Linked DNA regions of Styela clava. Each later gene encodes a partner of the first gene's protein in a complex. Links are inferred from orthologs where the notes say so. Each region holds a gene or a part of one and is shown in the gene's direction. Other genes may lie near its edges. The genes, in order: eukaryotic translation initiation factor 3 subunit B-like, eukaryotic translation initiation factor 3 subunit E-like, eukaryotic translation initiation factor 3 subunit I-like and eukaryotic translation initiation factor 3 subunit G-like.

Region 1 (7,864 bases):
TTTGTTATAAGCAATGTTAGCATGTTTGCAAAATATAAAATTCCAGCTGCATGCATTATATGGCTTATATTTATGTATTTTTTCTGGAAAATTGGTGATCCATTTCCAATTCTGAGTGCTCAGCATGGTATTTTGTCAATTGAACAAGTAATAAGCAGAGTTGGTGTTATTGGTGTCACTGTGATGGCATTACTATCCGGGTTTGGTGCTGTTAATTGCCCATATACGTACTCTTCCTATTTCCTTCGTCAAGTCACAGATTCTGATATTCAGCTTATTGAACGAAAGTTGATGCAAACGAATGAAATGGTAATAAGCAAGAAAAAAAGGATTGCAATCGCAAAGTATCATAATTCTTCAAGAAATGCTAATGAAAATGTTCCACAAAGTGGAATTTGGGCACGAATTCGTAATGTGGCTTCTCCAATTTCTTCACCTGGAAACGAAAACGTTTCGTTACTTCAACAAGAAGTAATTGCTCATGAAGAATTAAGCAGACAGCTGTTTCTAGAAACTGTTGATTTACATGCCACGAAGGAACGGATTAAATATTCAAAAACTTTCAAGGGAATGTACTTCAATGTTTTAGGTTACTTCTTCTCTCTGTATTGCATGTGGAAAATATTCATGTGTATTATTAATATTATTTTTAACAGAGTTGGTAAAAAGGACCCAATAACGAAGGGATTTGAAATATTAGTTCATTATCTCGGCTTTGATGTCGACGTGTCATTCTGGAGTCAACACGTTTCTTTTATATTAGTTGGTATTATGATAGTCACATCAATTAGGGGTCTTCTTATAACCCTTACAAAGTTTTTCTATGCGATTTCGAGCAGTAAATCTTCAAATGTGATTGTTATGGGGCTTGCTCAAATCATGGGAATGTATTTTGTTTCTTCTGTTTTACTAATGAGAATGAATATGCCTGCTTCATATCGAGAAATCATAACTCAGGTTTTGGGGGAACTCCAATTTCAATTCTATCATAGGTGGTTTGATGTTATTTTTCTTATTAGTGCCCTTAGCAGTATAGGATTTTTGTATCTTGCGCATAAGCAAGCTCCTGAAAAACATATAGTTCAAGATGTCAAACTATCATTATCATTTAATGACTGATCTTACAGAACTGTGTTTTGCTTGTAAGAAAGAATTAGATTGAATTTAAACATTAGTATTGAAGGTCTAAGTTTATCTTTTGAGGATTATGGCCTAAGTAGATTTTAATAAAACAGTATACCAGTGGAATATACTGCCATAATATGGATATACTAACAAAGTAACAATAAAAAGTAGAATTCATAATTATAAGTTAATGCAAATGTATTAGCGCAGACATGTAAATTCTTCCATGATTTTTGTAAAGCATGTCTGAAATGATTTGTTTTCATGTTCTTTTCTTTTAAAGATAGCATAATGTTTCTCAATATTGTGAGTATATAAGATGAGAGTGAACCGAAGCTATGATTGAATCTGAAAATGATGAATTGAATTTCATTGAAGGCGACAATGCTGCGTTACAAATAATCAATGATGAAGGAACATTACGTTTTCTTACTTCGGACTACATAAATGAGAATAATAATATTGATGAAGAGGCCAAGGAAAAGGATATAAAAGAATTGACTGATGCTAATATAGAAAAGCTTCGTTCTCGCTACTCTGAAGTTTTGGAGAAAGTAAAACCCACAGCGGACCCTGCAAATGCTTTCAATATGTTAGAAAAGGTCCAAGGTGGTAAATCAAGTGATTATAGCATATTGACTAAAACTATAAACTCTTTGGTGAAAGAAATTGGAATCCATGATTTACAAGATTTTAGAATCGAGGATATTGTGTTGCTTGTTTTGGACATGTTCACAGCATTGCGACAATACATACATGAATTTAACGTGCAGCATATAATTCGACGGCGTGTAAAATCGGCTATTACCGCAAACAAACAACGCAACAAAGATCAGCTCAAGTTTGGTAATATGGAAGCATATTTAAGTGATCTTTACAAATTGTATCCTGAAGTTGGGACTTTAGCTTCTGGTCGATGGTTGACCAGTGCTGAACGTCCATACAAAGACACTGTATTAGATATAGTTGAAGCAATTGGTATTAAAGATGCACATGATACAAGGATTTCTCATGCTGTCACATTAGCAATGGATCAATATCCTGTTTTGAGAGACCAAATAACTAATCCAAATTTACGGAAACAGTTTTTATCTAGAATCAAGAGAAGCTTTTCGAATAAATCCAAAACAAAAGTTAAAAGATCGTCCAATGACGAAATATGCCAGGTGAGCAGTGAGCATTGTAACAGAATTTATGTAGAATGGCCGCCTTTGATAATGTATAGCTTCGCTCTTGTCAATAACACAAATTATTGCGTGCTTGCCGTATAGCTTGATAATGTGAATCTTATATTTCTATATGAGCCACATTCAAGTAGCAGAAAAACTTAATGTTAATATTGTTTCATTGCTTGGTAATATGAATCTTATATTTCTATATGAGCCACATCCAAGTAGCAGAAAGACTTAATGTTAATTTTGTTTCACTTTTTTTTTTTATTCATAACTGCTTCTGTTCTCAGAATGAAGATATGTTTGATCAAGATAAATGTGCAGGCTCCAAGATTCCTAGGATAGAATTGGTGATTGAACAGGATGAAGAGAATGAATGTTTTCTAGACTGCGAAAAATTATAAGGAAATTCCACTGTTTTTACTGTTGACACAGAGGGTCTTGCACAAACATGTAATTCGTCCATTGCAATCACAGATAGAATATGTTATATGTGTAGCAAACTGGACGCATTCACAAGATAATGTCTGCCTATACATATTATGTGAAATGAAAATACCCCATGAAATTGAAAGATCATTTTAGTTCTTTATGCCTCAAATATTTCTATATCTTTCCAGATTTAGATAATGATGCAAACATTATTGGTTTAGTGGCAAAGTTAAATATATTTTATAGCTTAGTATATATATAAATATTCTTACTTTACTACATCTCCATGTTTTCACGAGTATTGTATCTTTTGTTGTAGTTATTTTGCCTTATTTTTGGTGTTATGCAATTTTGAATAAGTTTTCAAATATTATAAAATGAGGGTTTTATGTTGTGACCAAACTGCTGGTTTTGTGATGGACGCTTTGACACAACTGTTGGGCAGTGTTAACCCTAGACGTTTCAAATATAGCACACAACTTGTTTTTAAAAAAATATTTTTGCAAAATAATATTACTAGCTCGCGTATAAAATATGGGAGGAGAATAGCCGATGGTAATAAGAATGTGGGAATTTTGGGTTTTGCGCATCTGTATTTATAACACTAACAACTCGTTTATATAATGGACAAACAAGTTAGATCTTTATGTTATCGTAAAAAATCGTATGTCATATGAGAATTGACTAATGGTTGAAACACATCGGATTACATACATATATGCGTATCACGTGAGATAAATGAAAAATCCGCATTTGCGTGGCAAGCGGAGTTTGGCAAATCAATAACGAACAGTTGGTACTCCTGATGTACGCGCACCAAGATGTCGCATAACCTGAACTCTAACTTGGTACACAACCTGAGTTCAGGTTGTGCGCCATCTTGGTGCGCATACTTCAGGAGGTCCGAACATTTTTAGTATATATATATATTTTTTGTTTGTTTGTTGGAAGCGTTAGTCGTTGGTTGAAAGTAATATAATTACTTAGTTTTGATTGAACAATCCATATGTGCCATTTTGTTTGAATCGAACTCGTTTTTCAGTAGCCTATTGGTTATCCCACTATTTATCGAAACAGCCTCTACTGTTTTTAAAAACAGTACAGAAAATCACTCCTCGAAGAATCTTTTCTAATGATATAGGACTAGCGCGTTGTATTTGACTTCGTTTAGGTGAGTTTATAATGAAATCCTCCTTAACGGTAGATAAAAGGAAGACAAAAAACAACAGAGGCTGAAAAACTGAGGGTCCTCAACATTTGAAAGTACAGAAATCGGTGGTTTCCTAAATGTATTTTGAATCGAAACCTGAAATCACTAGATACCCTGTAGTCAATGCTACTTCATCTGAACATTCTCGATTCCAGTTTTTATGGATATAAATATATTCGTAGAAATATTTTTGAATCTGTTACAGTAGCATAGAAAAGATTAATAGAGTAAGGGTTATTGTTTCGTCAACCAGAAAACAAGCATTGAAACATTGAAAAACACTCAAAGTTGCTGGGGAGTGATACGACCATGCGGTCATCTAATTGGGTCATCAGAGTTAGTTCCCCATACCCACTATTATGTAAAAGATCCCGAGTTCCAAAGTATGTGAACGATGCATAAAAAAAGCTACTTTTTGCAAATCTGATTCGCATGCTTTCGCATCTGGGTTCTTCGGTCCTTATACGGACAGACAGTCCTTGCCAGATTTGTCCAGGGATTGAACCAAGTTCATACAGATTGATAGTTTTTCCCTTATTTGAGACATAAAAATAGCATGAAATTAATTGGCTGCTTTGTCGTCTTGAGAACTAATACGTAAACACAAAACGGTCAGAATATTTATCACAAAAGGAATATTTGGCGCTCATCTCAGTTTTGCGCCAGAGGGCGCTAAATTTCTGAGTCCAGGAGCATGTGTTTCTTGTCAGATATTCTCATGCTGCGTGGCTGCTTTTGTGGGTGGATCTTTGATTTCTAGTTTCATTGCCGTGTTTTCGCAATATTATTCATAAATTCTCATTAGGAAGTTTGTAATGTGTAATGACGCGTAATATAAATGAAATGGACGAGGAAGAGCAGTGGGAAGATGTTAAAGGAAGGAAGAGAGGACAGAAAAATCAAAATGGGGATGGATTGTCAAACGACTTTGAGAAAGAGCCAGACTTCAGCGATCCAGAGGATTATGAAGAGGATATCAGCGATGAAGGTATGGGAGTGATCCTTATTGCACAATTTGGGGGTTTTGATAATGTCAGAATGTGCTTTATTTCAGTATTTACTGCTTTTTTTTCATTTGCTAATGCCAGAATGCAGTTAAATTAACTCAAGCAGTCAGGTTTCTGCAACACGTTAACTTGCAGACTTGGTAATTCAGCCACAGGAGTGGTGACTTTTCTATGGGCCGGGGCCACGGTCCATCTAATTTGGCCACATGCTGACATGGGCCCATCAGGAAAAGTTCAATTATCTTACCAAAATTTGCAATTTTTACAAAATTGTCAATATTCGAACCGAAAAAAATTGTGAGATGCTACCAAATTTTGGGTCTGGTGAAGTACACGCCGTCAAGTACTTCTACCGGGCGTAGCATAACGATTTTTGCATACAATATTCCTAACCCTCACCTAAGTACGTCACCCAAAAATTACATCACTGCGACGTAACAATCGCGACATAGAGCTTGCTAAATTATAACTACAATCGTTCTAAATGTCATCTGTGCCGACTATAATGAACTCACTAACCCCAGCGATCTCTCTCTTATCGTTATCGTTACGGCGAGAAAACGAGAGAGTAGATTGCACAATTTCGGATGATTGTCTGCACGACCACACGTTTACTTTGGAGGGCCTTATTACGTCACTGCGACTATGCAGTGATGTAATTTTTGGATGACGTAGTCAGTGAGGGTTAGGAATGACATATGCAAAAATTGTTGAGCCAGGCCAATTACAAGTGCTTGCGGCGTGTACTTCACGAGACTCCAAATTTTTTTCTTACGATGGGCCTTTATATAAAAATAAAAATAAAGCAAAATACCAAGCAACAGGATAGAATACTCCTGTAGTATGTGTACCAGGTTAGGGTTATTACAAAATTTTGTTCATATTTTTTACATTATAGTTCTAATATGAGTTCGGGGACTGACTGTGTTAGCCAAGTGAATAGTCCCTTTACACAACTTGATGGGCCGATTCCCAATTCGATGGGTCGTGGCCCCGGCCCATACGTCGTAGAAGAGTCACCACTCCCACTCTAATTCAGGGAACTCTGCAACTGCATGAAAGTTTCTGATAGAACTGCAGAATGTTTACACTGTTCTTTTTTATTGTCATATGGCGTGGCTGTGTGGGCAACCCTAAAATGCGGGAAACGGGAAATGCACTGAAATGCGAGAACCACAGGAAATTGCCAAAACTAAAATGCAGGAATGACGGAACTATGGGAAATTTCACCGTCGTCGTGCCAGACGCCCCTCTTTTGTGAGAGACATGGAGTGTTTGTTTTATTGAACCAAATGGAGGAAAATTCTTGGAATTCGGATAGTGTGCTGTATTGACATCTAGGAGATAGTTATGTGCAAGAGGATTGCTGGACTCCTCGCCGCCGTAGGGTGGTTCACGTACTGCTGGTTGGTTATGGCTTCCTCCACCATCTAAGCCATGCTATCGAAAACAAATAACTAATCTCATACCTGACATGGAATGATAACCGGAGGCCCTCAGCTCCCTCTCCCTCCAGCCCCCGGGATAAATATGTAAATCCTATCCTATTTTTCAATATTATAAATTTTGGAATTTATTTTAAAATGTCAAACAATCCAACGTCTTCTGATGGCCTGTGTCCATGGTATCTTTTTAAAAATATTTGAATTTACGGGATGGTTTATCCACTTTGCGATCAACTTATTTTTAAGCTGCAACATTCAGAGGTTAACTTCCTATGCACACTTGAAATGAATCACTGAAATGATCTATTTGGGATCAAACAACAAATTTGCAGCCTAGCTCTGATAACCTATCTGCTGTGTTGATGCTACCAAAACTGACAGTAAAGACAAATTTGATGTATCTCGTTGGAATACCTCTTAGAATATATTATACATATATATTATATACTTTTTTATAAAATTGAGCATATATTATTTATATACAACTTATATATTCAGAATTACTGGGAGACATTCTGAGAAAGGAGCCAAAAGAAGCAGATGGATGTGAATCTGTAATTGTTGTTGACAATATACCTGTCGTTGGTGAAAGTAGACTTGAAAAACTCAAGTCTGTTTTAACAAAAATTTTCTCCAAGTTTGGACCAATCCAGTCCGAACATTTTCCACAACAGAATGGACAAACAAAAGGGTAAGTAATCGCTATGTTGATTTTAAGCAAACTTTGAAGTTCTTAATTATATACATTTTTTATTATTAAAAGAAGACATCATAAATAGGCTTATGATATGAATAGGTAAAAGCTGTTGCGATCATTTTAATGTATTCAAATTATTTTTAATTAATTTTGATCTTGGTCGTTTTCATTCTTGCATGCTCTCTTCATCCCTCTCATTTTATTGAATGAAATTCATCATTTTCTTTGTTCAGATACATATTTATTGAATACACTAGACCCGAGGATGCATTAGAAGCAGTGAAAAAGGCTGATGGATACAAGCTTGACAAAGCTCATACATTCAAAGTTAATTTATTTAATGATATAGAAAAGTATGTTATTCCATTTGTTTCAAATTACACTAGAAAATTTTGAGGCGAAATTTATGTGTCTAAATTTTTCACAGTGATGTCATTGAACCAGCGTTCTAGTTGAAATTGCAGCAACATTTATGTTACAGGTCTTAAACGGAAAATGGTTTATGGTGTTCTGAATAATTTCGATTTTTTAGAGCCAAATTTATGCTGAACGTTGATTTTGAAAACTATTTTGGATGTTAACTATGTTTTATCTGTACCTACTGTGATCTCGAAAAGTGACCTTCTCGACGTTGATAATGTATAAAATGTGATATCTATTGGTCTGATATGTTATGCCTTGAAAATTTCAGGTTTGACAACATTGAAGTTACTCAAAAATCAGCAGAAAAACAAGAATTTAAAGATATGGTATGATTTTATTTATCACTGTTTGTT
Region 2 (8,180 bases), on another chromosome or scaffold:
CCTAGGAGTTTTAATTTAATAGCAGTAATAAAAAATTAGTGTAGAAATAGCTGTGATAGACCAGGCTAAAATTCTTTACCGGTACTTTAAAAAACAAATTATTGTATGCTATGAATCATAATGATGGTTTGCAACACATACCCCGTTTTACAGGCGCCAACTCGCAAAAGCACTCTAAAAATAGCCTTGAAAATTTTGCAATGGTAAAGTTTAGGAAGAATTTTTCGGGGGTCAAAGGTCCATTCTCACGGGATTCCTATCATTCAACACGATGCACCATACCGCTAAGCAATTTTGAAATACGGTCTTTTTTGCTTCGCATTTTTCGATCAGGCCAAATCTTGCAAGCTATTATGTAGTCCACAATTGTAGAGCTACAATTTGTTGGCATCTTTATATTACCGGATTATTGATTTAAAAACCATTTAAACCGATTTTCATTAGTGAGCAATTGCATGTTTTCGGCAAGCAAAATTGAATTCGCTCGCGTGCATTTCTACGAAGCGCTAGCGCCTTCGGGCTTCACCTGCCTTGAAATCCAGTCTGGTATAATAGGGCAATACCTTTTAAATCAATTCAGGATTAATTAAATCCATTTGTGGCACAATTCTCTTGAATGAAATGTCTGTACTGATGAATAATGTTATATAATTTGTTTTTAGAAAATGCAACTTTTTTTGCAAGCAGAACAGCTTCATTGTGTTGAGGTCGATGGCCATGAAACTGTCGCCACACTCAAACATTTGATTGCCCTTAGAGAAGGCATATCAGTTGATGATCAGGTTGGTACGATTTCTTCTCCAATTTAACTAAATTTATGATTTTTTGTCACTTCTTACTGAGCTTTTGCTAATTTCCTTGCGTTTTGAAGTCGGAGAAGTAGTGGCCATAATACAACTGCTTTTAACATATTTCCAGATTCTAAGCTGTGGAGGACGAATTATTGAAGATGAACTATCTATTAACGATTCCAATCTTCAGAATCTGTGTACCCTTGATGTCTCGTCAAGGCTTCTTGGAGGTATGCCTCGAATTGAACTTAAGATTTAATATATAGATACATTTATGATCAAATATATAGAAGTCATGATATCATGTATTTTTTAGGCAAGGTCCACGGATCCTTGGCCAGAGCTGGAAAAGTGAAAGGTCAGACCCCAAAGGTAAGATTCAAAAGTTTGTATCTTATTTTGTGAATTATTTCATATATTCAGCTTAATAATATATTACATCGCTGCAGGTGGACAAGCAAGAAAAGAAGAAACAGAAAACTGGACGGGCTAAGAGGAGGATGCAATATAACAGGCGTTTTGTCAATGTAGTACCAACATTTGGCAGAAGGCGTGGACCTAATTCCAATTCTTAAGTGGTATATTCCATATTGTAATAAAATGGTGTGATCCATTTCAATATATTGTTGTATTTCATTTATGTAATGTAGAGGTATACGATCAGAAACAGTTATTCTAGACAAGGTTTGATTAAGTATCCAAATTTCGCAAGTTGTTTTAGAATGCAACATAGACTGAAGAATATGTTTTAAATTGTCCACAGAACATATCAGTTTGTTCCTTTCAGATGAATATGTTAGAATTCAGGAGTATTAAATTGCGAAAACTATTTTGGGATGTTGATTTGTACAGTCTTTTTTTCAATGCAATATTTAGAGACAAGGTACTTTTTAATACATCCCTCGGTCCACATGAGTGTTTCATCCGGCCCACTTCCGCCTGTTATAAATTAAGACTATAGTTTTTACGGATACAAATTTCTCATGCAATAAATACCTATTGCATTATATACATCAGTGAAATGAGCAGGCAGGAAGGAGATTGTTATCGACGCTAGTTAAACTGTTTTTCATGAACCTTGGGGGCCCAGTAACCAAGTTTATTACTTGTAAGTGGCCCACTTAAGAGAGTGATTGGCCCATAAGATTCTCGAGGCTGGTCTCTTAGTGTGTTAATCAATCCTGCTTTTGAGATACAATGGCAACTAATTGGTGGGAAATAGTGACCTAATTAAATAAGTGAGAATAAATATTATATTAGTAGAGACATTATGCTATTTACACTAATTCTTGATGATTCTGCGGTAAAAAAAATAGTCTGGACAAAATTTTATCATTCTTCCTGTCTCCATCAATGTCCTGTAGGGAATTCCATTCCTGACTTTCTTTATTGAAATACTATAGAGACAGTTTACCACTTAGGTAATTTTTATAGCAAAGATACATGTTTATGAAGCTTCAAGTATATTCTTGGTTTCATAAAACTGTACAATTAAGTGTCCTTGGTTAATGGTGCACAATTGTTCTTAGTAAAATGCAGCGGAGTGTTGATATTGACTTGAAGAACATTTATGAATGAAATGAGCTGCACAGATGTTCTTCATAGATGCTTTGCCTATTTGAGAAAATTCATTATATAACATAGGGAAGTATCAATAGCACCTGCATGTCCGAACAGTGCCCACATGTAAATGTATTTAAGTGTTTCATAAATCATAATCTTGATTCACTCTAAATGTTAAGAAACTTCTCCCTTCGAAATATCATTCATCTTATGATAATGCACTCCTTTTGCCTCAAGCTGAGACTCAGACCATATTAGAAGCTTTATTAATTTTGTTAGGCAAGGTACAGATTCTTTGTTTTCATATTCCATAATTGCAGCATTGACACGACTCCAAACTTTGTGCCTTTGTGCAGGGCATAAAAGGTCCAAAAATGGCGACTCTTCAGGCTTTTCAAAAGCCAGCAAAGCCAAAGCTCTTTCCATATCGACAAGGCATTCTGGACTTTCTTCACCACGTTCACTTAAACTTGTTTGGGCAAATTCCAACGCTTCTTCCGTTTTGTGTTCACGTATGAGTTCAATTAACTGCTGAAGCTGCAGATAGAAAAGTAACACTCTGTCATCATCTAAAAGCTCAGGGTGCAGATCATTGATGAGTGAGATTGCTTCTGATATACACCCTTTCAATATTGCATCTCGAACTTTAATTCGACCTTCGATTCCTTTCAGGCATTCCGAAGCACTTATACCTGCTTCAATTTCGAATTTCTCTGCAGCCTCTTTGTATCCTTCTGTTACCAAATAGTCCATGATTAACCTGTTCATAATAGCAGATTCAATGTGCATATTTTCCATCTCTTCAACCCATTTTTCTTTATCGTTCTGTGGAGATTTCTCTTCTTGCATTGTCACATCCATTTTTTATTTATGTAATTAATGCAAACTGTTTTTTCATCTGGAATACATTGAGAAATCACTGACTAGATGAGTTTTTACATTAGTCGAAATTAATATTTAGAATAAATCAGCATTTGAAAATTATATATATATTTTTTAAATATCGATATAATAGTCATTCATACAACCATTGTCTAATTGTTGACAAACTTTAGTTGAAGTTTTACATATTTTGATATAAAAATTATTGATGTTCAAAAATTATGATTATACACAACTGGTTTACATCAGCATGAATCTCTCATAGTCATACTGTCATAGCTTCTAATTTATTGCGTTATTCATTTTAGCAAACATGCATTCATTAAAACGAATGTCAGATTTTAGGGAATTTCATTGAAATCAATAGACTACGGTATCGAAGATTAGTTAGGACTGATATAAACTAAATACCAGTATCATTTCAGTCTTAGACAATAAACCTGCTGTATACTCAGATACTGATACAGCTAGCTTCGAAGTGAAAAACTTCTTTTCAACAGCAGTAGAGTAGTTTGGGGATTGTTACCTTGAGTTGTTGGGGAAAGAATTTGAATTAGGTAAGTAGAAATTTGCGACAAACAGAAAAAAGTAAATTCTGAAATATGGCGGTCTAACATCATTAATTATGTAATTAGAGTCATTAGACCAACGCTTAAATAGTTTTTCGCTGTGGGAATTCTGCAAGAAATCGATTTACGGAAACAAAAATACTGCCTATCGGGAAAGAGTGCATAATTTGATGCTAGGCGGTTACAATCAAAGTGACAGACTAATGAATGACTATATTCACTTCGGTTACAATCAAAGTATTTGTGATGTTTCTATGACCCTTGACCCCTTGATCTTGATTTTTGACTACTGCATTATTTATTTGCGTTATTGCTGTCTACAAACAAATGAATATAGGATAAAACAAATAATAATAATGAAAAATCATCCTTATATACCGAATTAGCCATTTGAAGTAGACAAAATATGTCTTTGGCCACAAAGGATGCGTTGACAAGGCATGCTTGAACCCTAGTGACGTCATTCAACACCATCACTCGAACACTCGCGTGGCTATAATACAGGAAAAGGAGAATTTGTGTGCTTTATTTCAGGGGTACCCACCGTATGATTGTTTACTTCTCGTTTAAATGAATAGATCAATATTATAAAATTAGAAGTATCCTAAAGTTCATTTGTACGATCTGCATGCAAGTTGCGTTACTAGTGATTTGCTCAAATTTGAGAAAGTTTAGATGTTTGCAGGCTTGTGAAAATGATTTGGATATTCCGACAGCTGAGATCACGGACTAAAATTAGACATTTCGGAAAAGGGAAATGAGTGTAATTCTTTCTAAAAAGATAATCAATTAGTTAAATTAAAATATAGTCCACTTGAAAAAATCAATTAGGAAACTAAAACGGTTCAATTTTTCTTTATGTTATATAGGTATAGTTATTCCAATTAAATTTAAAATGGCTGAATATGATCTCACATCAAAAATTGGTTGTTATTTGGATCGCCACTTGGTGTTTCCATTATTGGAATTTTTATCTGAACGAGACATATTTGATGAAAGGGATTTGCACAAAGGAAAAATTGATCTTCTGAGCAACACAAACATGGTGGATTTCGCAGTGGATGTTTATAAAACTTTGTATCCTGGCGAGGCAAGTATAGCATCTGATAGCTTTCAATTTGGGTCTAGTGTAGTTTCCAACATGAGTACTTCTAGTGGGTGTAACAATTTTAGCTTATGTCCATCTAACCCACACTTGATTGTGTCATCCAAAAATTATGTCACCACGATGTATTAAGGCCCTTTAAACTATACGAACTGTAATCCAAGATGCGCAGATGTTCTCCGATCACTTGTTTTTTCGCCGCAACGATCTTAGTGAGTTCTTTTTCGTCGGCGCAGATGCCATTTCATCGGTTGGAGGCGTGAAGTGATTGTGACATGATATTGATGTCATTTTTTGGATTGTGTAGTCAAATAGGGGTTGGTATTTGATATACGTACATTTGTGCTCTATTTAATGATGCTCTTATTTTTAAGGAGGCTCCTGCTCATCTAACAGAGAAAAGATTAGAAGTTGTCGGCTTATTAAAATCTCATACTACAAAAACTATGCCTATCGTTGAGATTTTCAATAACCCGGAAGTCAGTAAACAGGTTGGTGCTGCTTATTATTGGATTCAAATGACTGATATTTTATACTAATGCTGATAACAACATACAAATCAATACTTTCTGTCCAGAATATTCATTTAATGTAGAAAATATGAGCATTTTACCATATAGTTCCAGTTCGTGAGTATTTTGCTCTTTTAAAAAGTTTCGGCTAGTACTTGTTTGATGAACAGTTCAACTGAATGATAAAGCTGCATTTCTCAACATTCTCTGATTTTACAGGTCGAAACTGTCAGAGACGGAAAACAACTTTTTGAATATCTGGAAACAAACCATGCATTTAGGCTCGAAGACTTAGATTCTTTATATGATTATGCCAAGTTCCAGTATGAATGTGGTAACTATTCAGGTATGACTATAGAGATTTTAATAGTCAAAGTTGGTTGTTCAATCCATTTGGTACCTGAATTCTATTAATATTATTTTCAGGTGCTGCTGAATACCTATATTTTCATAGAGTTCTTGTAAGTCCGACAGATAAACATGCGATGGATACTTTGTGGGGGAAACTGGCTAGTGAAATATTGATGCAGAATTGGGATACAGCTTGGGAAGATTTGCATAGATTGCGAGAAACAATAGATGCAAACACAATAGCTACTCCTCTGCAGGTTTCACTCATTAGTTATTTGCTAGTTTCACTCATCTTTATATCAATATTATATTTATATGTATATATTGGATAAGATGTTTAATAATAGAGTTGGAAATTTTAGAGTTGGAGGCTATTTTTTCTTAGCATGACCTCATTTATGTAAAAACATGCTCAGAGCTGTGGAAGTCTGGTGGCAGCAAATTCGTCTGCATGTGACAGTTGGGCTCAAAGACCCATAAAATACAGAGCTGATAGTCAAATATATAGATTTATCAATAATATGGATTCTAGTTTTGAGAACATTTTTTGAATATATTTTAAATGTACCTCAAAGTTTAATTTATTAATTTCTGTGGATTTACAGACTTTGGTATTTTAAATTTTAAAACATATGTTTTGTTTCAGCTACTCCAGCAGAGGACATGGCTGATCCATTGGTCTTTGTTTGTATTTTTCAATCATGCTAAGGGCAAAGATGAAATCATTGAACTTTTTCTCTATCAACTACCTTACTTAAATGCTATTCAAACCATGTGTCCCTGGATACTTCGTTATCTCACAACAGCAGTTATCACAAGTAAAAGGAGAAGACAGGTGAGCAATTAATATTTGATTGTAAAGTAATAGGTAGTTTTAGGTAAATAAATAATCTATAATATTTTTGACTTTTTCTAGAAAGCCCCCGCCAAAAAAAAACACTCCCCCTCTGCTCAAATTAAAAAAATTAGTGTCTAGATATTTTTTATTTAATGATGGATTCCAGCACTGAATTTATCGAAGTCGGGGTTATCGACAGCGAATGCTCAATCTGCAGTACTTAAAATGTGGCGGTGGTGTTTTCCAAATCTTACATTTTTGCATTAGTGCAAAAGATCCAACAGTTAGCAGTTAGGTTAAACAAACTTCGTCTTCTAGGTTTTGAAAGATCTTGTTCGTGTAATTCAACAAGAGACCTACACATACCGTGACCCAGTCACTGAATTTATTGAATGTCTTTACATTCATTTTGATTTTGATCGTGCTCAAGAAAAACTGAGGGAATGTGAGACTGTATTGGCAAACGATTTCTTCCTCATTGCTTGTCTTGATGAGTTCATAGAAAATGCAAGATTGTTCATTTTCGAAACATTTTGCCGTATTCATCAGGTATATAATTCATGTTATTTATTATTTGGCTTCCCCATATTAATTGCTCTAACACTATTATTAATGAGTATTAAAAGAGTCTGGCTGTACTGAACAGTGGTGTTTAGAGTAAAATGTAAAGTTTTTAAGAGTTAAGGAGTTTTAACTATTGTCATACTTAAAGACTATTACTAGTTCCTAGCTTATGTGATAAACATGAACTCAATTGATTCTTGAAGTCCCAGTCATTATCTTGTGCTAATATCTGATGGTTGGTTTTTTTCATTTTTTGGATACGTAGAATCAATATAAATTTTTTCTTCCTACGCAGTGCATTAGCATTGATATGCTGGCAGAGAAACTCAACATGAGTTCGGAAGATGCAGAGAGATGGATTGTGAATCTAATCAGAAATGCTCACTTGGATGCTAAAATAGACTCCAAACTGGGCCATGTCATGATGGGAACACAAGCAGTGTCACCATATGAGCAGGTTCAAAATTATGTTAAATGCAAGAATTCTTCTATTAGTTATGTGTAAACGTATTGATAAATTCATTGTTTTATTTGCATATTAAAATGAATAAACACTATATTGATACTAATTTCAACAAGTGGTTGGGACTCCTTACAGACACAATCGGTGTTTTCAATTGCCCAATAAACCCGACATTCTTGTTACCAGGTTATAGAGAAAACTAAGAATTTGGCTTTTCGAAGTCAAATGCTCTCTACCAATGTAGAGAGAAGACTGACAAAGGAAAAAAGTTCCAATGAAAGTGCAGTAAGTGATTATTGAATATCAATCTAGTTTCGTTTTTATTGGGAGCATGTAATCGATGCAGCAATTCCATGCTGGGATACTTTATAGGAAACAAATTGACACTTCTTAATCCTCATTGAAATAATCTCTCAATTATCCAAATTCTTGAACTTGGATATTTAAAATCGAATAAATAGATACCTGTTTCTAGCATGATAATTTTAACTCGCCTGATGCAAAATTTGGTCAAATAGTTCAAGCTCCAATTAAAAGAAATT
Region 3 (8,874 bases), on another chromosome or scaffold:
TAGTTCAGTTTTTATCTACTTTTTCGATATATTACTTATATATATATTACTATTTTAGATCCCTTTGCCTATCCTTATCTGTGTATAAAAAGTATGTTTCGCTTATTGGACACGTCAGTTTCACGATCGTTTCAATATTATGTTGTTGTTCTTGTTAGAATTCTTCTTCTCTTTCGTCATGATGAAATCGCTTTTCTCTTCGAATACTGGACCAATTGCTTTGAAATTTTCAGTGGTTAAAGATTGATTTTTTTGCCAGAAGGCTATTATTTTTACTTATTTCAAAAATTTCTGTGGACTTTAAGAGATTCGTTTTTTATGTGTCATAATAAAAAATAGCGACACCCTGTGACGTGTCCATATATTTGAGCACAGCTCTCTTGATCATCGTATCTTGACAAAATTCTTAGCTAGTGTTACGCTTACTCGGACTCGAAATTTTGCATAGTTTGAAGGGTTTGTATGTATTCATAATTATGTATTGCAATGGTTCTACACAATTTTAGTAGAACTACACGGAATGCAAAGTAATATTTCTGGATTTCCATCCCCAAAACAATTTTTCACACCATCATCGTATATAGTGCAAAACCTTCAGTGGATACTACCAAGAAAAATCGAAAGACTACGTAAAATATATTAATGTTTCAATCCAGAAATTAAAATCGTGAAATTAGAGGCTCTGAGCCCAAAAACAAATGATAGCAAATAATGAAGTATACTGTGGTAGTGTAATAACTGATGAACATGCAAAACTGTGAATTTTTTAATTTAAAAAAATCTCACGTCAGAACGACTTATATGTTCTATTTTTTTATATGAAATTTTCACACCGAACTTTGTCGTTGCACTCATTACTTATCGATTTTAATCGGTAGGTATGTTGATGGGTATTTGTCTGTTAGATGCACGCGATATCTCATGAAAGCAAGATTGAATCTGCTCCAGATTTTGCATGTGCATTCATCTTATCTCGGACCAAAAGCCTATTGATTTTGGGCGATTTATGTCGTATAATTAGCGAGTTATTAATTAATTAGTGATGGGACACAAGGTGTCACTATGGAGTGAGAGCGCTGTTTTGGGGGTTCTCCTAAGTTTGATCGATAAGTCTTCGGTCTTTGACCGATATTCTCGTTTTTTTCTTTCTTCCAAGCCCACCTTTAATTTTACATGTGCCTTTTATCTGGTTTATACATTTTTTTAAAGCAACTTATCAATTTCTAATTTTATTTTCAGATCGACCATACACAACGGCTTACTACGGAGCAATCGTCTTCAAGATTATTCCTACCCTTCCGTCGTAAGCAGCACGCAACAGCTTCTCTGCTTAACTCCTAGTAGGGGTGGAGTTATTACCCTTGGATCAGACGACGATGTGAATAGGGTTGCCAGACTGAACGAGAACAATCCCGTTACATTGCCAGCGAGAAAACCCGCTGATCACGACAACGGAACACCTGTTCCTCTCGCCACTACAATAGTCACAAAAACATCTGGCAACGATAAACAACAACACGGAAGCAACTTTTATAGACTCATGCAAAAGAGCAATTCTCCAAGACCACGCACGTCAACCGCACATGGGCACCCATTTTCACTAGCCAATATACATTACAAACACACTACTCAAATACGTAAACCATACAGATATCCAGCTCTTTCGCCGAGTGCAGTGAATGCAAGAAAAACTGACGGCACGGTTTCTAGAACACCGGTATTCGAGCGCAATGCAACTGCAATGAGCATGGCTAAAAGTCCAGCAAATACTACATTTAAAATCATCGAAAACCACGTCAGATGGAATCGCAGGCTACCGGTATTTAATCCAGATGATGCTCCCAATGTATATCCATACCAGCCATGTTTCACAATACACGATCCCGGAGCTCAATCGCGTAAGATGGCGCCTGTACTTCGGGTTATTCCTGCGTTTCCACAAACTTCGAAGATCCAGCAACAAAGAAGGGTCAAGGTCGCCAAATCACCTGTTGATACAGAGGGTGCGTCACAAAAGAAAGTTCGTTTTACGGACCAATTCGGGCTTCCCCTCGTTCGAAATGCCACACCTAATTACAGGAGAAAACATTCGTACATTTTAAGATGGCTGGAAACTGCAGGCAGACCGGCCAAAACGATTCCTTTAGTGTGATCTGTATATATGTATGATTTCTCACTTTTCCTCGCAGTTTTATTATAGTATAATATCTTTTGATTCGACTTTGCACTTAGTACCGTGTCACCTCGAAAATAATCTGAATTTTAAAATTGATTTCAATATAAGCCCTCCCCTTAAAATAAGACCTAGTTGATGACAAGAAATCTTTCCTACACGTTTTAAATGATTAATATATATATTTGAAAATCTGGTAATTCCCTACTTTGTAATTTTGTTTTATGATAAATGAAAATAACCCCCCCCCCCCCACACCAATTAAAAGAAAGCCTAGTGCTATTTTTTAAACGAAAATTGGAATGAGTCTCTGTCTCATTTTCGGGGAAACACGATGCTTAGTAATGACATGAGGTCAACTGTGACAAAAATTGTACACAACAATTATATTTGATCTGTATAATGCGACCAACAACTTTGCCAATATGAAATTGTGAAGCTGCATCAAAGCATATGCTTAGGAGATTTTCAGATATCAATATCGTATACTGTACCACAAAGTCGTTCTTTTTCCTACAAAGATTTCATTTGATATTCCATACCTTTAATTACTAGAAGTTGGAGACATATTATTAACAATATTTTATTGAGCACTGCGAACAATAGTACGCAATTGTGCCTTTTCTGATTGAAAATTCTATTTAACGGTATTGATTTGTTTAAGTATATATCATGTCTCGAAGGCAGCACGGTCTGTATGTTGAATGGCAACCTTAACATAAAAATATATTAACAAATATCCATTGAATCCTATTTATAATTATATTTGCCTAACTACTTTAAGGTGCGGAGATAAGTATTATAATAAAGCACCCTAGCACTAAAAAAATAATTGTTTCTTGATTGCGTTAATCTTATGAGTCAGGACTGGGAAGTGCTACTATTCCTATGAAAATGTCTAAAGAGTCCTAAAGCAGCTCAGGTCAATACTGTACAATTTAATTCGGAATAATTCTTCATAATGCATTTAAATACCTTTATTGCATAGAATGTTTTGAAAGCTTTGTATTTAATACGGGTATTTGAGTATTCCGGTTTGGAATCTTAACCCTCTCCGGGCCCCTTTATCTTTTAGCAGTGGGAAAATTTGATATTTGGGGAAAGCAATACTTTTAGGTCATATATGATTAATTTTTGAAAATTTTCGACAGTCCGATTCCCTGGGGGATTTACTGGATGTTGCGCTAGTGCAACTTCTGCCCAGAAAGGACTAATTCTAAAATATCACATGTATGTTGTTCAATCTGCAATACCTTATAACATGACCGGTATGTATACCACAATGGTTGAAAATATAAATGGTATTGTCAAACTTATTTCATGGCTCATTTCAAAACTACAATTATGATTAAAAGTCGCAATAAAATGTAAACAAATGTTAATATAGATCATGTTTTTGCACTCTTGGTAGTTTCTCAAGTCAAAATATTTAGAAAATGCATATGAGTTGTCCCTTGACACTTTCATTTACCTATATTTTTTAAATTATTCGAAAACTTTGATTTTCCATATATATCAATGCAAGAATATAGAAAATCAAGCGTTTACATTGAAATAATTTTGCATTTACTTGCTGTAATGTATTTTATCGGAGAAAGAATTTTTAGCGTGAAAGTCATTTTGATTACGCTACGCAGCGAAAAAATAGGAAACCAAATTTTTTGGTAGCAGAAAAATCGTTAGCAATCTGTGTGTTTATTTACAGGTTTACGATTTCGATATTTTTGGACGGTTTGTTTCCTCTTTTTACTTCAGACTCTCGTTTGAATTTATCGACCGACCCTGCCCCCAGTCTAAAAGACGGCCAGTCGTAGTTTTCTGCAGCATTTGTGTTCAGGCCAATTCTATACCAATTAATATAGATTGGTTTATGAGTAGATTGCAACACCTTTATGGTGTTGTCAAAAATTCGGGGCAGAGAAAAACTGTGCTCTCCCGAACATCGAATTAGCTTTTATGTTTATCTGGCTGAACGGCGACGCACTCGGACTTTCAAAACACGACTAAGTTTTAACTCTAGATTCGTTTTTAGATAGCTATTGTCTGTCCACATAAATTCCAACAGTCAAAATGCTGAAATGGTCTGATTTTTTAGGCTCAAAATCTTAGCTACATAAATATCGTTCTGGAAAATTAGGTGTTTTATCAAAATCAGCGTCATCGACATATTCATAATTGTAAGTCTCAATTGCTCCTTTGTCTGAAAGTGTGGCATTAGAAATACGCGCTAATCCAACGCAATTTCTGCAAAAAATCTCCCCTCTGGCATATTTGCAATTGTTCTGCTAGATCGCTGAAAATACAAATTTGAATCAATCTGAGACACTTCTCTATCATTCTAACCCCGTATTTATGGCTAATATACCTCGATTCCATTTGTTTATAAATCTGAATCATAACACTTGTGCATACTTTATGTCACGCCTCCTAAATCTTCTGTTTACAAAAGAATTATCGGAACCCAAATTTTTTCCTATACGGCAAATTCTCATATACTGCATCCTAATGATCCTGATTGTAACTTATGTGACACAGGAAACTCATAAACTACGTTATCTGCTCAATAAGCCAATATAATTGACGAAACTATACAGATGAATCTTAGCTAATTTCACAACCGAAATCCACTTCTGAGGGAAGATGTTGCACCTATGCAACACTAATTTTAAACCACCCCTCATGAAACCACATAAATCGTTCGAGGTTGCAATCGGTTTGTAAAGCCTCTGTAAACACCATTCTTTTACCCCGTGCACAGATATGACGAATTCGGTGTATATTAATTAGTATAGTTGCTTAAAATATGACCATGGTTCACCAGCCTGACACGAGCACCGGAGACCGCATCTTGCTAAAGACGCTTGCAGCGTCATCAGGCAGCGGCAATGCAAAATAGCAGTTGCATCGAACCAACTAATTATCGCAGTAGTACGTTGAGTAGAAAAAAGCATTCTGCGGCAGAAAATGTGCGTCATAGCTAGTTTACAAGATGTTGTTGCATACGTGTTACGCATTCCCGGAGAGGGTCAAACCGGAAAATATATATCAGTTGTAAAACAAAATCGTGGGAGGAGCAAGAATTTCATTGATAATCTATCTCGTGTTTCACTATGTTCTAGAATACAAAATCCATTCAAAAAAGGGTCAAAATATATAAGATTAGTTTTGTGCTACTTGGTGGAATCCCAGTCATAACATTAGTAGTCAATTATCGGAGAGCCATAAATAAATAAATAATTTGCATCGTAACTTCAAATCCATTTTTGCTCAACAGCGCCAACTCGAGTACGCGAATTATTTCGTTGAGATCTAACTCGTGTTTAGCTCAGCTTACTGTTCGCCACATGTTGTCTTCAGCTCTGTGGCTTCTACTATCTGACAGTTCTAGTAATTATACCTACAGTTCAGCAACTGGCCCTTGAGTGCAAGCATTCGAACGGCTTCTATCGCATTTCTCTTTGTCCATAAAGTCGTCTCAGTGTGTTATTGGATTTTATTTCTGAAGATTTTCTAGCGTTTGAAATTAAGTGGACTGGGATATGGTGAGTTTTTATTATTTGTCCATCTTTCTGCCGGCCTGTGCATCATTTTTTGTTTTAGCATACTTTTAAATATCACTGTACTGTTATAGTGCAAATTTTGGGTCAGGTATTATTTAGTACCACATGCACTTCTAGATGGCCTGGCTCCACAATTTTTGCATATGTTAATCCTAACCCCCACCTGACTACGTCACCAAAAAATTCCGTCATTTGGACGTCACAGTGGCGTAATAAGACCCACCAAAGTATGGAGAGGGTCGTCCAAAACGCACAGCTGATCACCCGAAATCGAACAAGCTAGTTCTCTCGTTTTTGCGTCACAACGATCACCATAGAAGAGAGATCGTCGGCGTTAGCGAGTTCGTTATCGGCGGTGCAGATGCCATTTCGGGCGATTGTAATTATACTTTGGCAAGCCATATCACGTGATGGTGACGTCCTAGTGACGTAATTTTTGCATAGCATAGTCAGGTGGGGGTTAGGAATAACAAATGCAAAATTCATTATGCTACGCCCACTGGAAGTACTTGTGGTACCAAACTATACTAGACCCCAAATTTTTTCAATGGCTCAAGTTAATTCCAGTATCAAGTCCATGCTAATAACTGGCTAACTAATCCCATACCCGACCTGGACTGGTAACCGGACGAGAGGCCTAGGTTCGCCATATGATTAACCTTCCTAACCCGCCATTCCCTAGTCAAATTTTTAAAATATTTTTAATTAGCATTTGTCACCTAACCAATATGGCTTGAAAGGCCATTGAAGGCTTGTTTGAATCGTATTATTGTTTTCTATACGCAAGAGGTCGCTAATGGACCGCTCCATGTACGAAATTTTGCGTACGTGAGAAAATTCATCGACGATAGTAAACAAACATTCGAACCTCTCTCCTTTATGGCCGTTGAACCTTACTTATGATAACGGCACTCTCTCGCAAGCGTTATAGCCGTTTTGGTGTTTGTCTTCCTAACAAAATGATATCACAGGCAATGGTGTAGCGCAAATAGCTGCCGAGTAACGAAGCGGTATATTTGTGAAGTCAACGCAGTTCTTGTTTGTTTATTATTGTGCGGGTAATTATTAGTGCGTGTTTACGCGAGGAAAATGGGCGCTCGGCCGCGCAAATTACTTTCTTTCAAGTAATAACGTATTCCTTTGTATGTTTCTTAGCTTTCAAATATTTACAGATATAAAACTCGTAAAATTGGAAATATGCCAAAAAGGAGTGACGCACAACCCGGGTGCAAAAACAATCGGACAAGCCTATATCATGCTTGAAAAAGGCGCGAAAATGTCTTATTGGTTTTGTTTTGAGTGAAGTCCATAATAAGACGTGTACATAAAGAATGTTAACTCTTACTGACCAATCATATTAGAGCCATATTCATATTGTAGTTAGTTCGCATCCCGAAATAACAGGGTTAAGCTGTCTTATTGCCTTATCGGCTTTCTTCTCCTTCAAGATGAATAAGTCAATCTTAAGTGGGTAAACTGGCGCATGTATATTTACATATATTAAACCTTTATAGAGGTTTTGCCAGTTTTCCAATCTTCTGTGTGTTCATTGTTTGTGTTTAGTGTATGATTATTTTTGCGGGAAAATCAAAATATATATACTTATACTACTTATCCTATTCTTCACCTATACATGGTAGCTTCATTCTGAATTCCTAATTGGGCTTAACTAAAGGATATCGCCTTGACTCAACTTGATGTCAAAGTTCTTCTATAATATATTTCAGAAACCTTTAATTCTTCAAGGCCATGAGCGTGCAATCACTCAAATTAAATATAACAGAGAGGGAGATTTATTATTCACAGCAGCAAAAGATGCTTCACCTAACGTCTGGTTCACAATAAATGGTGAAAGGTAACTTGTTTATAAGTTTATTTCGACTCCATAATCAGCAGATGATAGAATAATTGATAAAAATAAAATAAGTAAAACTGATTATAGAATCGGGAGAGCAACCAAAACCTTAGGTAGGGTTTAAAGTGTACAAAATTTAGATGGAAAGGTATTGATAAAAGAAGTAGTTCATGTTTGCTCACCTCATTTAAATATTACATCATTTCGATGACATTTTTTAATCAAGTGTTTGTTACTTGTTTATGTGATGCTTGTTCACATCTTTCGTTTCGAATAAAGTCCCTATGCGGCAGCCACTGATAGCTATCGATATTTAAGAAGCTATTATTTGTGAAGGATCAGAAGCTTTTTGGCATTGCCTGCCTACCCAATTCATTACATTCTCAGTGAGACGGTTGACATGGGGTGAGATGATGTACAACGGTTTGTATACGCTTAGTTTCCTGCATTACTGAGATATTTGCCAGTGCCAGGACAACCCTATCTAAGCCTAAATGTCATATAAATCCAATTGTATTTTATTGCCTGTCTTATGTCACCTTGCGGTCAGATAATGTAAAAGCTTTTGAAATCCAATCTCACCTTGGAACTACATTCATGTGTTTTGAATTGAATTATCAGTTCAGCTAAATTCCACAAGTAGAACAGAATATATCACGACAGTGTGGCACATCGTGCTAAGCCACTGCACCTCTGATTATCCTGCGTGGTCTTGCAGGTTCGAATCCCATGTGGGGTTAGTTATGTGCGAGGATATTGCTAGACTCATCGCTCTTGTAGGGCGGTTCACGCTGTTGGTTGGTTACGGCTTTCTCTGCAATCAAGTCCATTCATTTGAAAACAAATAACTAGCTAACCAATCCCTTAACTGGACTGGTCACCGGACGGGAGCCCATGGTTCGCCATATGATTAATTTGTCTTATCGGCTTTCCTCTCCCCCTGGATAAATATGTAAATCCTATTCAAATTATTAACGATATAATTTTGCCACTCTTGAAATTTCAAATTTTGTTCTATTCTAGGTTAGGATCATATGATGGTCATCGAGGTACAGTCTGGGCAGTTGATGTGAACTGGGATTCAACCAGAGTCCTAACTGGAGCTGCTGACCAGTCGTGTAAATTATGGGATTGTGAAACAGGTATTGAAAATGGTCAATGAGAGAGATGGAGATAAAAATTTTGTCAAACCAGAAAACATAATGGGGCCTATATAAATAAAGAGAAAATAACAGAATCAGAAGTTTTGGTGGTAACGATACAACCATTTACTATCATTCAATACA
Region 4 (7,873 bases), on another chromosome or scaffold:
GTTTTTTGATTGAAATACGAAAATATAAAATACTAATAAAAAAAAACGTAAACAATTTGTTGTAGGAGGCCCACGACAGATTAGAAACGCTTCTCTGGGCATTGTGAATCGCAAAGATAAGTTTCGACACACGGCACACATGAGTTTCGGCGGCGTTGGGAACCATAACGTCACTAAAATCGAAACACAGTCAATTGTGCGCGGAATTGACCTTGTATCCATTGCTTTAAATTGCCGTCGACAATTTTCGTGTTAATATTATATATACAAGGTTGAAACGCGACTTTTTCCCGAGTCGTGGTGATATATAAGATAATTAATCAAAGTATATTCAATCAATTTTTATTGTACCAAGATAAATCCTTGAGATTTTATAGCAGACGTGGGGATTTTTCTAACTGTTTTATCTTGAAAATAATTTGCAAGTTGCAAGTACAGCTCAGATTTGTCGAATTCGCAAAATACGGATCGAAAGTAGATATAATAAAGTTTACCACACATTTTTATGTACGCGGATTACCATGGCATTTCAGAGTAGTGATGACTTTATTTGTCGACGCAACCGCAGGTTAAATTGAATACAAGTGAATTAATAAAGCAAGACATTTTGAATATGCCCAATCGGTCATGGATTGACTAGGCTTGCACGTAATTTACGGATTTACGGAATTACGTAATTATTTGGAGTTACGGAAGGGAAGTTAAAACCAGAAGTATGCGCACCAAGATGTGTACAACCTGAATCCTAACCGGTACACACCTACTATGTTCAGGTTGTGCGCCATCTTGGTGCGCATACTTCTGGGGCACCGATTTTTCTGTTGTGCAAAGTAATCAATCCATACACGCCCATACACGCCTTCTCAAGCTTTAGTTCAATGCGTCTGCAAAAGTGGTTGGCGCAGGAAGACGCAACCGATAAGACATTGCGTGGACGACTCTACGACAAGAACCACCCTGTGAAAATTGAAATACAACCGAATAAATGAGTTAGTATAACTTTGAAAAACCTCATCACTTTAACCTTAAGAACAAAGTATGCTAAGTATACATTAAGATTAACCGAATAGTTTTGACCGTAATAATGCCTTTATTTTATGAGAAAAATGTTAATACAGAAACTCAAAATCCCTATTATGGGGTGATAACAGATTAGTTCCGACATCAGTGCATCAGAGGGGTCTTACAATTAGCATAGCCTGTCTTATCGTTTAAATCAGATTGCCGCCGATGTAAGTATATTCTTCATACCGCACCTTGTTTTGCCGAAGGCTGCCTTTGATTGAATTGATTAAATAAGTTTCATGATTTTCTTACTCATAACGCAATGTTCTGGAGTAGTTCCACGGCGATGCAAAGGGTATTTCAATAAAAAATAAAGAAAAACAAATGATTTAAAACAAGCCCTTGTTTGGAAACAGGATGTTTTTTTTAGAATTGATAAAAAACAAAACCCTAACTGTGTGCTATCAAACTTCTCCGTTATGACGTTAGCCGCCGTTATGAGGTCATAGACTTTACGAACATCCAGCCGTTCAGTGTTCAAATCATCACACCTCAATGGTTCAAATGGGCAGAGGACTTCTCATCAATCAATAAGAGTTAAAAAAAAATCATAAAACTAATACGTCAATACTTTGTATTTTGCAATTTGCTTATAATATATATATTAATATTGGAAAAATATTTGGCGGACCGGCAGCAAGGTTGCCGCGGACCGGCGGTTGAGAACCACTGCTCTATACACTTTGTACAAAAAGGCATACAAAGAAATTTTCATGGGTCAAGGGTCAGCGAAACATCCACGAAACATCTGCACGCTGTGCCTGTCGATGTCTGCATATCTGCTGCCTGTTCCTCAGGGCTGCCACTCCAGATGTTTTATAGCTAGATCTAGATGTAGAATTTGGAGTCTAGATGTTTTTCAACGTTCCTTATATTATCCAGTGGAAAATGAATAAAGCGATGTGTATAATACTGTAATATGTGAATGAATATTATTTCATTACTCAGAAGTAAGTTAAATATAGTCTATTAGTGTCAGATTTATAAAACTCATTTATATATATAATATATTGTATTTATCTAATCTACGGGTACCATAATATGTAATTAGATAATTCGAATAACGAGTTAAGCATTTTTAGGTTACGGTAGGGTGGTGTAGCCAGTCTGCGGACGATTTCATTCAAACCGCTATAAACAAAAACCAATATTTCTAACCCGTTAATTTTTTCACCGTAGGTGCATTGGCATTTATTCTACACGCTGAAATTTCTACGACCAGGGGTTAAAGCTATACAAACCACCAAAGTACGACACTCTGAAGACGTATTTGCGACCGAACGACCAGTGTGCGATCACGGATTTCAAGCCTTGAACATCGTTTCTGCTGCGTCGAGACTAGGGCATACGCAGCCATGAGTGAAAAATGGGCTTCTAATTGCATTTCTGACCGTCATATATTTTAAGAACACGGTTATTTCGAACAAAATTCTTCAAATTATGAACAAAGCACCGCATCACAGCAATCAAACAGACAAAAACACAGTGGTCGCAAATTAGTTGACAAAGATATTATTGACGTATTGGAAATGCGCACCCCCCTACTCCCCCTCCTTTAAATGTAGAAACGTGAAACTTTAAAGATGGTTAAAAGAAACACAACTCTACCCACCTGCCAAGTTTCATCTCTTTATCTCTTATATTTGTATCGATTTTCAACCTTTGTTAAAGGAACAATGGGTAGTTGGCGACATGGTAAAATGGTCAGTTTTTTTTCTTCGGTCAGGTTTTCGGTCGTAACTTTTTTATTTGTGGCCGCATTTTAGTTAGTGTAATTTCGCAGAGCTACGAGGGATAAGTGGACGATAACGCGTGAGAAATATCGTCGCGGTTCGTTAATTTTTTCGGCATTAATTTGATCGATGAAGTTGATGGTCGCAGATAGGTCATGGCCGCAAAGTGGGTAAGCCACCCTATGTGACTTTAAAAACCGGTAATTAAATCTGTAAATAGAAAGGACGATAAGTCAGTACCGGTACTTCAGTACTTAGTATTGTATTGTTGCCAATTGGTGAGAATAATTTGTGTAGTTCAGGTTGGTTACTATAGGATTTTAAAATTATAAAATTATTTTAGTGCAATTGAATTTGTCTTTCTTTACTTTTTGGTGCTGTGAACCGGTCTTACTACTTACAGACTTACTGAATACAGCGCGAAACACCACAAAGAGCGCAAAACAGAGAGAAACAGCGCAGAACAGTGGGGGAAAGAGCGCAAAACAGTGTGAAGCAGAAAAAAATTTTGCAATGAGTTCGGGGCACCTTGTTTTGAGTTGGAGTACCACGGCAGCAAATTAAAAACACAAACCAACATATGTAGCCAGTAATGCTGTAATGGCAGGTCTGCCCCTGCTGGTGACACATTTTGGGTACCATAATTTAGAACATTTTCCATATGGATATGGTTGGCGTTAAGGTTCGGTAAAAAGGGACCTCCAGAAGTATGTGCACCAAGATGGCGCACAACCTGAAAATAGTATAATAGATATTAGCTTCTTCGATATCTAATATTATGTAATACTGTAATATAATAAACTTTGAATGCTCTCGTTTCGTTGATTTTCATCAAATTTAATGACTTCAAATCTAGATGTATTCTCTAGATGTTTTATTTTTCAATCATGATGTTTTTCGAGGTCAATCTAGATGTTTTTAGTCAGGCAAAAGTGGCAGCCCTGGCGTGGTTCGCGGTAGGCCTATTGCTGGGTCATGCGAGAGGATAGCTGGGATGCTAGTCATCACATTCTTTCTTAACGATGGTCAGGACGAGTCAGTGCTACTCACTTCGGTTTGGCGGTGTGGCGCATCGTGCCGAGCGTTAGGAATACGCTCGCCACTGCACCTCCAGACCTCTGATTACCTACTGTGCATGGGTTCTCTGCGTCCTCTTTTCAGACAAATTGAGTGTTTGTTTTATGTATTGTTTTATGCGACATCTGAGATATGTACCGTACTGTGTTATATAATGTTACAGGGCACAGTTCATCGATTCGCGACATTTGGTTCAATAAAACAAACTCAATTTGTCTCTGAAGCGAGGACGTTTGGCACGACGGCCGATTCCTATATTGCGTTGAATGCTACAGTACAATTTATTCCAAATGCAGTATTGTGTACTTCTCAAGTGATTGGAGCAATCATTTACATTAATGTATATCAATTTTACATGTTTTTTTTATTTCAAATATGTTAACTTATTTAACATAAAACATAATATAAAAAAATGGAAATTGAAAGAGGGAACAACGAAAAAAGTAGCATCACAGTGTGAACATGCCGTCTGAAGATAGCAGGTAAAAGGAACTTCTATTTCTAAGACTTGCTCATGAACCTTGAACAACCATAGGTATCAAAGTCAACAAACAAACTTCGGTCTATGGCCTATGTGCCATGGAAAATATGAAGTTTCTGGTTTCTGTAATCGTAGCATATGCATGACCCAGTTCAGTATATAGTCAATGTTTTTGAGTTTATATTTATAAAATAATTACCGAAATATTACTGGACATCGGTTATTAATAAGTAACAAATAACATCTACTTTGCACTGTCCAGTGCCATGATGATGTTTTTGTTGCAGTTTTTTTTCAATTCCTAATTGATATTTTTCCATTGTGTAAATTTGTTGAAAAGTTCATTTTTATTTCCATCTCTATTGGAATTAATAATTGAAGCAAATCATATTCCAATCTTAAAAAATGTTATAGCATTGTTAACTGACTTTCATCAGAGTAGTAGCAAGTGAATACTGCTTGTTTTTTGATGATGATATTTTCCGGTTTATTATGTCTTTCATCATTTTGGAAATTAATTAGTTTAAACAAGCTTGATTGAATAGTAATAAAATAATTTTCTCAAGTAATATTGTCTGTAGTAAGAATAAAGTTTTCTTTGATAAAATAATGCATAGTAATTATGCAGCATGGCCAGTATAATTACGTGACATATCTGGTGCCTGTTCCAATGATGCAGTGGTGCCGGTAGTTTTGTCTTGGCTGTAGAAACGGATCACTTGAAATCTTGAATTTTTCATTCAAAAAGTTTTATCTTCCGTTACCCCTATTTCTGCTATGTCATATTTCAGGGATATCCATATTAGAAAATATTTTCAAATGTCATCTTTGGCAATATCAGATTGGTCATAGTTAGAAATATGATATTGATAAATTTAAAAAACATTCAGAATCATATGAAACTTTGGTTTTATTATTTAGTAAAGTGAGTTGGGCTGATGCTGCCGAACCATCGAGTTGGGCAGATCAAGTAGAAGAAGCAGAGGTACAAGAACTAGGACATGATCAACTGCCGCCTTCATCAGAAAAAAAAGATGGAAACACAAAAATTATCACAGAATACAAAATAAACGAAGATGGAAAAAAAGTTAAGGTTGGTTTTTTGTCATTATTCTGCTAAATATATTTATCAAATACATAGACTCAAACCAAAGGCATATTACTAACCATGGGAATTTTATATTGTGTATCACGAAAACATATATTATATACTATCCATGTTTGATTAATTGAGAACTTAATTTATGCCTAAATTATAAACTGTTTCCAAATCAAGTTACTTGAGGTATTATTCTAATTCCCAAGTTATATTTGCCTATCTGGTTCTTTATTAAAATTTTTTTTAAATTTGTCATTCCTTTTTGCGCTAATAATGCAGGGTTATGCAGCCAAAATAAACTTACGGTATAGTCGTAATAAATATGCTGAATAAATATAATAGTAGTGCAACAATAAAAGTATCGAAATACTGGGTTAAAATTGCGCATGAATCAATGTATTTCCCAAATGCCTCAAATTATAAAGATTTATCTAATTTGTCAGTTTTAATTTTGTTCATCCATCCAATATATCCATGCAACTTTGCTTTGAGATACAAGTTTTGAAATTTTTCATATGAAATTTCAGATTGTTCGTACCTACAAGATTGAAATCCAGAAAACATCAAAGTCAGTTGCCAGAAGAAAACATTTACCAAAATTTGGAGTATCAAAGGAGGATCCTCCCGGTCCAAATCGTGCGACCACCATTATTTCAGAAGTTAGTCATTTTACACTGTAAATTCATATATAGTTAATTATTACAAAGGAATTATTTGAGGTATAGAATGGAAAATACATCATAAGAAATTTGGGTTTCTAATCTATTCTGTTCTTCATGCAGGATGTGAACTTGCAGTTCATTAACAGTAGACAGGAGGAAATTCATGATCAAGAAGATCCTATGTTATCGAAATTTCGTAATCAACTACAATATTACATGTTTTTCAAGAATTTCAAGACAGGAAATAGGCCATGTATGATCTTGGATAAGTTTGGTTTTGTGTCGAATATTTATTAAAAATTTATCTGTATTTTTTTGTTATATCTATTGTTCAAAGATATCCTGATACATTCGTGGCACATATTTCCGCTTTGTTATAGTCTGGTTTGTAGTGATCACTGAAAGAAAAATTCAACATTGAGATTTAATCGTATTTAATTTTTCAGCTGAAAAGGAAGAGGAAGAAAAAAAAGATGAAGTCGATAGTCCAACTCAAGCGGGACCAGGAGGTGGAACTGGTGGAAAGTATGTCCCTCCAAGTTTGAGAGCTGGAGCAACAGCAAGAGGATCTTCTATGCCATCTCGGGGAGCTAGAGGTTTGCATTATGGATTTGTTAACTGAATGCTCATGAAAATATAATAGTCAAAACATTAGTGTCTATTGAGTTACTAGTTCTGTCATGTTGCAATGACAAAAACACACATTTAGGCATTTCTGTAGTAATTTTTTTTTTATTAAATTTTTGAAATACAACAATATCATCGTCTTTTGGTAAAATTCATTCAGTGATTTTGGTAAAACAAAAAAGTTACATTGCTAAAATCTGCTTGAAAATTCCACCTTGTGCTTATTTTGGTACTCCCGTAGTATGTGTACCAGGTCAGGGTTAGGCCATAATTTTTTCCTTATTTTAGTCCTATCACAAGTTTGGGGACTGTTTGTGTTAGCCAAGTGAATATACCCCTGCTCATAGGTTCCAGTCCCTTCACACAACTTGATGTAAAATAGGCGAATTTTTTATATTCATGCCTTCTTCCCAGATGAACAAGCAACAATACGGGTCACTAATCTTTCTGAAGAAACAAAGGAATCTGATTTACAAGAATTATTCAGACCGTTTGGTCCAATACAGAGAATATATCTGGCTAAAGATAAACACACTCAACAATCAAAAGTATGTTTGCAGGAACGAAGTTCTATTTTGAAATCATTATTTGGAATTACCAAGCTCAATTTTTGAATAGGCCATACCATGAAGCCTCTTAAATTTTGCATGGTGTTTCGCACTTCTGTACCAAGCTTAGGATAAGCAATCCCTAAAATATAGAAAGCTATAGGCCTGATTACATGTCCATCAAAATCAGCCCAGCGAACCGGTTCGGTTTAGAAAAGTCAAAGTAGTCTCGGAGACCACTCAGCGCCCTCGATTACATGTCCAAACCAACAAGTTGAGAACAGTTTCAGGGTTTTATGACTAAAGAAAATAAGTCATGATTTGCAAACACTGCATATACATATTTTATTTTCAATAAATTCAATACTAATGTTAAATAAAGTATCAAAATTAAATGCACGTTCTTGATTGAAGTTCTGTGAAGTTATTTGCAGAATAGGATAAGGGGTTGCTTTCTCATTGAAATTTGCCCATAATCTAAAAACAAAACGACAAACTAATTGGGGGCATAAAAGATAGACGAGTTAGATCATTTTGGCCGACTATTCAGCGTTCAACGTTGCAGAGTACTGGCACCTTAC

Evidence for each region.
Region 2: eukaryotic translation initiation factor 3 subunit B-like (region 1) and eukaryotic translation initiation factor 3 subunit E-like share a complex: the UniProt entries of both Caenorhabditis elegans proteins name them as parts of the eukaryotic translation initiation factor 3 (eIF-3) complex. The link is inferred for Styela clava from reciprocal best matches to the Caenorhabditis elegans genes eif-3.B and eif-3.E.
Region 3: eukaryotic translation initiation factor 3 subunit B-like (region 1) and eukaryotic translation initiation factor 3 subunit I-like share a complex: the UniProt entries of both Caenorhabditis elegans proteins name them as parts of the eukaryotic translation initiation factor 3 (eIF-3) complex. The link is inferred for Styela clava from reciprocal best matches to the Caenorhabditis elegans genes eif-3.B and eif-3.I.
Region 4: eukaryotic translation initiation factor 3 subunit B-like (region 1) and eukaryotic translation initiation factor 3 subunit G-like share a complex: the UniProt entries of both Caenorhabditis elegans proteins name them as parts of the eukaryotic translation initiation factor 3 (eIF-3) complex. The link is inferred for Styela clava from reciprocal best matches to the Caenorhabditis elegans genes eif-3.B and eif-3.G.

What each region holds. Positions count from the first base shown.
Region 1 is NC_135262.1:9,898,428-9,906,291, forward strand, and holds the start of eukaryotic translation initiation factor 3 subunit B-like, read left to right. Parts: upstream 1-4,619; 5' UTR 4,620-4,761; coding exon 4,762-4,927; intron 4,928-6,889; coding exon 6,890-7,082; intron 7,083-7,321; coding exon 7,322-7,441; intron 7,442-7,779; coding exon 7,780-7,837; intron 7,838-7,864. Other genes in the region: Golgi pH regulator-like, read left to right, coding at 1-1,119; uncharacterized protein LOC120333244, read left to right, coding at 1,464-2,291, 2,588-2,701. UniProt on the Caenorhabditis elegans protein: RNA-binding component of the eukaryotic translation initiation factor 3 (eIF-3) complex, which is involved in protein synthesis of a specialized repertoire of mRNAs and, together with other initiation factors, stimulates binding of mRNA and methionyl-tRNAi to the 40S ribosome.
Region 2 is NC_135257.1:13,248,124-13,256,303, reverse strand, and holds the start of eukaryotic translation initiation factor 3 subunit E-like, read left to right. Parts: upstream 1-4,673; 5' UTR 4,674-4,700; coding exon 4,701-4,895; intron 4,896-5,284; coding exon 5,285-5,401; intron 5,402-5,641; coding exon 5,642-5,768; intron 5,769-5,848; coding exon 5,849-6,030; intron 6,031-6,419; coding exon 6,420-6,608; intron 6,609-6,929; coding exon 6,930-7,160; intron 7,161-7,470; coding exon 7,471-7,632; intron 7,633-7,824; coding exon 7,825-7,923; intron 7,924-8,180. Other genes in the region: ubiquitin-like FUBI-ribosomal protein eS30 fusion protein, read left to right, coding at 666-782, 919-1,021, 1,108-1,163, 1,241-1,366; glucose-induced degradation protein 8 homolog, read right to left, coding at 2,529-3,215. UniProt on the Caenorhabditis elegans protein: Component of the eukaryotic translation initiation factor 3 (eIF-3) complex, which is involved in protein synthesis of a specialized repertoire of mRNAs and, together with other initiation factors, stimulates binding of mRNA and methionyl-tRNAi to the 40S ribosome.
Region 3 is NC_135257.1:18,325,677-18,334,550, reverse strand, and holds the start of eukaryotic translation initiation factor 3 subunit I-like, read left to right. Parts: upstream 1-5,486; 5' UTR 5,487-5,712; coding exon 5,713-5,715; intron 5,716-7,460; coding exon 7,461-7,588; intron 7,589-8,611; coding exon 8,612-8,730; intron 8,731-8,874. Other genes in the region: uncharacterized protein LOC120346396, read left to right, coding at 1,240-2,152. UniProt on the Caenorhabditis elegans protein: Component of the eukaryotic translation initiation factor 3 (eIF-3) complex, which is involved in protein synthesis of a specialized repertoire of mRNAs and, together with other initiation factors, stimulates binding of mRNA and methionyl-tRNAi to the 40S ribosome.
Region 4 is NC_135254.1:23,798,287-23,806,159, reverse strand, and holds the start of eukaryotic translation initiation factor 3 subunit G-like, read left to right. Parts: upstream 1-4,202; 5' UTR 4,203-4,337; coding exon 4,338-4,357; intron 4,358-5,277; coding exon 5,278-5,449; intron 5,450-5,982; coding exon 5,983-6,114; intron 6,115-6,237; coding exon 6,238-6,370; intron 6,371-6,563; coding exon 6,564-6,713; intron 6,714-7,158; coding exon 7,159-7,292; intron 7,293-7,873. UniProt on the Caenorhabditis elegans protein: RNA-binding component of the eukaryotic translation initiation factor 3 (eIF-3) complex, which is involved in protein synthesis of a specialized repertoire of mRNAs and, together with other initiation factors, stimulates binding of mRNA and methionyl-tRNAi to the 40S ribosome.